Linked DNA regions of Schizosaccharomyces pombe. Changing the gene in region 1 together with any one later gene gives a genetic interaction. Each region holds a gene or a part of one and is shown in the gene's direction. Other genes may lie near its edges.

Region 1 (3,758 bases):
CTTCTTTTTTCATCCAAGGGTTTTTCGTAAACAGCTCACTATAATGAATGTCAAGGAGAGTGATAAGTTCGGAAATGGAAATCTGCAACCATTGTTAGAGAGGAAAACAAGATGCTTCTATAGAAATGATTTAACTTACCTTCGAATGGGATATCTTGGAGATCTGTCCAAACAACTCTTGGCTTTTCGTCAATTCATTAGGAACGGAATTCATACTGCAACAAGTGAAACTTAATAAATTTTCAAAAATAAATTTTGATTTGAAAGCAAATAGTTCTCGAAGGGATTGAATTTCTTCCGGCGAAAGGAGTTTAAAGAAATTTAATTTTAGATGCAAAAGAACAGTGAATCAGAACAAAAAAGGAAGTTAATAACTCGATTTCGCTTTAATAAATAAAAATATTATCATAAACACATTAAAAATTCTATCAATAGACCTTAACTATGTTTTTTATACAGAAAGGAGTATGCCGTCAGTCAAGTTGTAACTATATTATCATTTCCATAAGAAAACTTCTTGTTTTTCCTATTGATTGAAAAATTTACTAATTAAATAGTATCGTAAACTTCAAGTAAAATTCATCAACTAAGTCGTAAGGGACTAATGGTTGAAGATGAACGAAGACAATTTCATAAAAGTTATCGAAGTAACATGTGACTTGAGTTACCAAATTATTGAAAAGGGCATGTAGTAGTAAATATCAGAAAAAAAGTAGGTAAATAATAACAAATGTAGGCGAGTTAGAATAAGATTCGTTCTTTTTTATTATTCCTTTTTAATCAACAATTTGTTTTTTTTTATTGAACCGAAAATCATCGACGCCGAGTAAGAAAGAGTGAGATTATAATAATCCTTGACATGAAGAATTTTATAGTGAAAAAGTATCTCTGATCTTAAAACTTTCATTCATTTTGTCAAGGTCTGAAATGGGGCACATTGGTCAAGTTTCATTTTGTTCACCCTACGAAATACCTATGCACATAATTCACACATTGACAAGGTACGGAAATGCCGAATATTATAATAAATCAAATTATTTCTAGTTTACCCTTCAAATCCTAAATCTCAAAAACTCTGGTACAGTTTCTTTTAAGTGATTTAACTTACATTAACCGAAGTGACATTTACAATTTTCGTTTCAAACAATATCTACATATAAAGTACTGTGTTATGAAGAACTGGCCATAGCAAGATTTTGCTCTTGAGTTCAGTAATTCTCTAAGTTTTAGTATACCAATTCCACATGCATATCGAATAATGCGCATCCTTTTATTTCATTTTAGGTACTTTTTCATGATAGTTTGACATTTATTTTTTAAATCTAAAAAATAATAATAATAATGTAATGCAGAAGCTGTTTCAGGTATCAACATACCAATAAATTCTAGGATTTCAATCTAAGCTTAATCACAAACTTGCGATTATATTTTTTGGTAATGCTAAACCATCGTTTGAAGGATTTTTTAAACCATTTTAATTACGTGTTTTGATATCTTTGATACGGTAAGAAATGGAGCTTTTGTTTCGTCAATTGCCAATCTACATTTTTCTTGTACGAAGGATTTTATAAAAAAATATGATGACAAAGTTTATGATTAATTCAAGATCCTTGACAATAAAATATAAACAAATTGCTATAATTAATAATAAATTTAGGAATATATTTAAAATGCCATAACACTCTGAACATTTTGAAATTCGAATTATATTCCTTTTCTTTTTTTTTTTTTTTTGAAAATTGACAGATCTCTTGGGAAAAACAAATTGTGATATAACCAATTGGGGTTAAAAGTACAATAAAAGAAAAAGAAATATTGGAGTAAATAGTAAAGAACTATTTTCAGCTTTATCCATATATATTGGATTCTTTTTCTCTATTTTTTGCAGCGTATTTCGTAACCACCAAAATCTCCAAACTTTGAAAACTTTAAGCGTCCATGCGTTAATGTATTGCTTAATCGTACTACATGAACCCGTATGAAACAGAGATTTATAAAGTTGTCCCCATTCCTAACAAAGGAATGGGTATGATTGCAAAAGTAAAAATCCCCGTCGGTACAAGAATTTTTGCAGAAACGCCTTTGATAAGGACAAAAAGTGACGCTAAGGAAATCGAGGAAGCACTGTCTACAAAAACAAAAGAAGAACAGGAAGCTTTTCATAGACTTTTCAACGCTCATCCAGACACTATGGGACCATTCCTTGGGCCATTTTATTCCAATGCGCTGACCATTGATGAGACAAAGGGTGGAATGTTTTTACTTGGTTCTCGAATGAATCACGATTGTAGTCCTAACGTGAAACATACGTGGAATCCTAGACTTGATCAGGTTACGGTTCATGCTGTTCGCGACATCGAGGCTGGCGAGGAAATACTTACGACATATATAGACTTACATAAATCACATACGGAAAGACAAAAAATATTGCTCGAGCATTTTGGATTTAAATGTTATTGTAGTGTTTGCTCTGTAGAGGAACGAAAGATTAGGAAAATCAGCGATTTAAGGAGAAAGCAACTGGCCTACTATGACCGAACCATGGCAAAAATGTGTATAGTTAATCCAAGAGGTGCTCTAAGAGCATTGAGACATAGGATACACATTGCCCACGAAGAGCTTCTTTTCGGTCGGTTAGATATAATTGCACTTCTGGATGCCTTCCGATTATGTGTCATCCACGGTGATTTTGAGAGAGCCAGTATTTTTGCAAAAAAGGGGACTAAAGCAATTAGTTTGTATGAAGGAACTGATTCTGAAAAATATTTGAAAATTTCCAAGTATGTAGAGAACCCACGAAGTCATGCTCTTGCTGAAGGAGTGCCTGCTCTACCATTATTTTTAGAAGAGGATGATGAACTATCGGATTTGGAAGATAATTTATGGGGATGTAAGCTTGAAGAAGATGTTTATAGTGATACTGATTAAGCATGGGGTAAAAAACTACTGTTTTTGTTTTTATTGGAAAATTGGGCATGTATTGTTAATGCTCGTCTTAACTTTTAGTTTGATGAGCTTGGGATTGTATTTATTCTATTGAAAAATTATAAAACTTTTATGGATGATAAAAACCTGAAATTGAAACTATCTTCCTGAGATCCTAGAGTTTTTGTATCTCCTTTCTTTTTTATAAATAAAAAATTTAGAAACCTATTGGGGTTTGGCATGAATTGTAAATGATTGAGAATATTTTAATATGGAGAATATTCAGTATTTAGCATAGAAGTGAGTACTGATTTAATTCATACAAAAGGTATTTATAAAAGAAATTTATAAGAAGGGTTTGCAGTATTGAGTAATCACTTCCTATCGAGTTGTAAACATTATTGTTGAAGAGATTTAAGCATTTGGTGCATGTTTGCTGATTTTTTTAAAATATCCAAAAAATAGATTCGGTATTTTGAGCAAAAGCCGATTCACAAATAGAACCAGTAAATCAATAAACCAAATATTCCTTATTATTCAAAACAACAAAAAATTTCTTCAGAATTATACACATTCTTAAGACACTGCTTTTGTAACAATATATAACATATTCTTTAACCTCTAAATAATAAATGCATCAGTGGTGTAGCGGTAACATCAATGCCTTCCAAGCATTAGCTCCGGGTTCGACTCCCGGCTGATGCAGTTTAATATTTGCTTTTTTAGATTATCTACTAAAATGAATATCATTCTACTAAAACTATATTGGATAAATGAATCATGAAACGTGTATCAAAATGTTCTAATACAAAACTGATATGTTGATTCTATCT
Region 2 (3,758 bases), on another chromosome or scaffold:
AGCAATTGTACGTCTGCTTGAGAAAGCTGAACAAAAACAGAATAATTGCAAAAAAAAAGGACGTCCTAAAGTACTAGAGAACGTAGGCAAGAAAAGTGGCTTGTCTAAACATTACATATTTATGCAATGACACTAAAATGAAATCGGTTAGTAAATTTTGAACACATCCTGTCTACGAAGTATTTGGGAAATTATTGACTTACCACATGTAAGGAACCTTGGGGGTATAATTCTTAACGGTCTTGTTAAGAGTTTCAGCAGGCTTGTTGCCAGCGTTGACGACAGAGGAGGAAGAAACGGAGTTAGCCATTGAGTCCATTGTTAAGTAAAGAAAGTGAAAAACGAAATGTCAACAAAAAGGTTTAAGAGACGTGAGAGTGAATTGAAAGCTGTTGAATTCAATGGCGAAAATACAGAATTATCCTGTCCTTTAATACAAATTTTAATTCCCAAGTTTTAAAAAAAACTGAGACTTCTTTGTTGGTCGGACCCATTGTCTAGTCAATTGTTAATACTCAATAATGCAAAAAATCCCATGCACAAAGATAGACACCGGATGTAGACAAGCAAAGATACCTCTTTTCATACTCTAAACATTGTTTTTACTAAGTTATCGTTAGTAACAGCTCCATCGGCTTGGAATCGCCAGGGGCAGCTCTATTGTATTACAATAGTGAAAAGCCATTGTACGAAAGAAAAACGAATAAAAGGGTTATTGGTATCATAAAGGTACAAGGAAGGGTGGAGAAAGAGCGATAAGAGCTGATTGATAGTTTTTTTTTTTTTTTTTTTTTGGGGAGATTTTACTGCACAAACAATGGGTCGTAAACAAACGGACAATGACTTGTGGCTTTTGATTCATTTGTAAACAACAGAAAATGAAAACAAAAAATTACTTAACAATCAAACATGCTATCAAAGCTATCCCAACAGCAAGCATAACAATAAAATTTTTACAATTAAGTAATCCCCCTCAAATGGTATTGTAAATTGAGAAAACTTATCAACAATACTAAATAATTGCCGGGCCGTATTTACTATAAGGAATTTACTATTCATACATGAATTAGATTGAATGGTCAAAGAGAAAAATGAATTAAAAAAGCTTCCAGTAATTACATTATTTCTTATTAAAATTTTTCTATCCATCCTATTCATTTTGACATTTTTTTATCATCATTGAACCGTATTCTTCGTATACCCTTGTGTTTTTCTTTATACCTAGCATCAATAGTATTTTTACCATCTCGTGATATCCTTATAAAATATATTGGTAGCTTATATATATTCCTAGTATGGAGGTAAAATAATATAGTGCCATGCACTGCGCTATAATAAATTAGTGTATATTATTTTACATCAAGTGCTTAAGATGCTTAACATATTGTATAGCAGTCTAATGATTTTGTTCAAACTCGTGCTAAAACTCGCTTGTGCAGCCAAATGACGTTGTCTGCTAGTCGATCTTAAGAAACAGTAAACAATACATAAAAACAACAATAATGGTTTTCATCAATTTTAATTAGACAAAGGAGATAATAATAATAATGAACAAAAATACAATAACTAGGGGTAAAGTTTCCTACCCCCCATTGTTTGCAGGGACACACATTGTCTTTCATTTAATAATCGCTCACTTTATCAAGCTGTTCAGCCATATCTCTTGCTAGGAACTTCATGAATATAAATCTTATTAAAGGTTTTTCTATACAAATTAAATCTGAATCTCTTCAAATATCGCTTACAAACTTTCGACCATACTGTTTACATCTTCTTATGATTGTTTTACATTACGGATGTTAATTGCAATACACAATTTTATCGTAGCAGCACTTCGTAAAAGAGTATTTAAAAAATAGCCTTCCGCTGGGTATCCCTTATTTATTAATTAGCTTATATTAAAGGTACAATCGTATTTCCACTTAGTAACAGTGTTGAGCCTCGATTTCTGCGTTGCTGGCATAGCACATGTGGCCCGGGTTCTGACATCTTACTAACCTAACCACCACCTATATCATACCTGAGGCGAATTATCTTCTATCGTAGGATTTGGACGTTTAAAAGAGCTCTATATAATCAATTCTTCAAAAAGAAATTATTAAAGCGGTTTCACTTTCGAAAAAACGTTGCAGATTGAAGTTTTTCTCAAATCTGTCGTTTGAGAGAAACCTTGCTTTGTCTGCGCCTTAATTTATCTGCTTTACGGGATTCTTGTACTTTTTCCTCAGATTTCAATTGCTTTGAAGTACCTTTACTACTTCTTTAATTATTAATTGGCCCCAGAATCGCCTATTTGTTTCGCGTTGTTTAAAGTCTGCATCCATTTACATATAGTTTATTATCCTTTTTTTCCTTCTCTAATATAAGATTTATACAATACAGACACCATGAGATTAACAACTTTTATTTACGCAATCACTTGTTTGCCCATCTTTATAAGTGCCAGTTCTTGGTTTTCTTCTTTCTCATTTGGTGAGTCAAAGTCTACCGATTTGGTATCATCTACCAGTGAAAAGATCCCTGGAGCCAATCCTGCCAGCTATTGTGCCGATTGGGATCGTGGCGATGACCATGTTGTCGTTGACTACATTAATTTGATACCGAATCCCCCAGCTGCCGGTAAAAACCTTACCATTGAGACTGAGATTAATGTTGGTACTACCGTGTTGAATGGCAGTTACGTGGATATTCAGGTAAAGTATGGATTTGTTCGAATTGTGAATGAGCGCTTGGACATTTGCGATAAGGCTTACGAACTTGCTGCTGTTGAATGTCCCGTTGAACCTGGTATCATCACCAAGCAAGCTACCATTTCCCTCCCTTGGGCTATTCCACCTGGTAGATACCATGTGCTTGCTACTGCCTACAATGCTGATGGCGAACAGTTGACATGCGTATCTGCCTCTGTATCCTTTAGCCACTTCGGATTTCAATTAATCAACCAAGACCATTAAAGCTTGGCATTCCTATCATGCCTATTGACTTTCCTCTACTTCGCTATGTAAAATAATCGGAGTCAACATCATATGTATTTGTTAAGTTAAATGAGGTATCTTCTCTTTTATTGTGCTATTGCTTTTACTTCAAGATTGTTTTATTTCGTTTGTGCAATCTAGTATCAGGTCACGTTCAACGCTATCTTGATTAATTGGACTATTTTCTATACATGATTTAATATTTTAGAATTACCTTTTACCAGTTTTTATTTTAGTCATAGTGGTTTCACTCTAGTATTCTTTTGTCATGAAATCCCTCTTAATTTTATTGTTACGTATAGTGAGTGTGTAAGATGCTCATCAATACGCCAAAGATATGTTTGAGACATGTCGCATGCCGACTAGGCTTTTTTTTGTTGTCTTATACTCATTTTCTCTATAACCAGGAATTTATACACAAGTTTTCAAATAACCATAACTAAAGTGTGCTGCTGATAAGAGTAGAAAGAGATATAAGCTTGGATGACCAAGATATAAATTTTAGACGATTAAATCCGATAAAATGAAATAAATAAACTTAATTTTATTATGTACAGGATTGATTTTTTAATTGATTCCTTCGTCGTGATTCATATGCAAGACGCATACATATTTAACACTACGACAACCAAAAATTACCATTATTCAAAGTCCAAAATTTTGGTATGTATAATTTAAACAAAAAGAAGAAGAAGGAGCAAAAATGTCTAAGCAAAATTAGTACCAGTAGTACAATAAAGATACAGAATGATTCAAAATGATTAATCTATAATGGTATTAAGA

Evidence for each region.
Region 2: mutations in set5 (region 1) and npc2 together harm fitness less than expected from each alone (positive genetic interaction), as found in Schizosaccharomyces pombe (one large-scale study listed by BioGRID).

Annotation. Positions count from the first base shown.
Region 1 is NC_003421.2:2,033,793-2,037,550, forward strand, and holds set5 (histone lysine methyltransferase Set5), read left to right. Parts: upstream 1-1,886; 5' UTR 1,887-1,968; coding exon 1,969-2,928; 3' UTR 2,929-3,201; downstream 3,202-3,758. Other genes in the region: protein Dms1, read right to left, coding at 1-82, 140-214. UniProt on the Schizosaccharomyces pombe protein: Histone methyltransferase that monomethylates 'Lys-5', 'Lys-8' and 'Lys-12' of histone H4 (H4K5me1, H4K8me1 and H4K12me1, respectively), thereby controlling gene expression and remodeling chromatin structures.
Region 2 is NC_003424.3:4,913,660-4,917,417, reverse strand, and holds npc2 (phosphatidylglycerol/phosphatidylinositol transfer protein), read left to right. Parts: upstream 1-2,000; 5' UTR 2,001-2,387; coding exon 2,388-2,954; 3' UTR 2,955-3,447; downstream 3,448-3,758. Other genes in the region: M-factor precursor Mfm1, read right to left, coding at 120-132, 204-319. UniProt on the Schizosaccharomyces pombe protein: Catalyzes the intermembrane transfer of phosphatidylglycerol and phosphatidylinositol.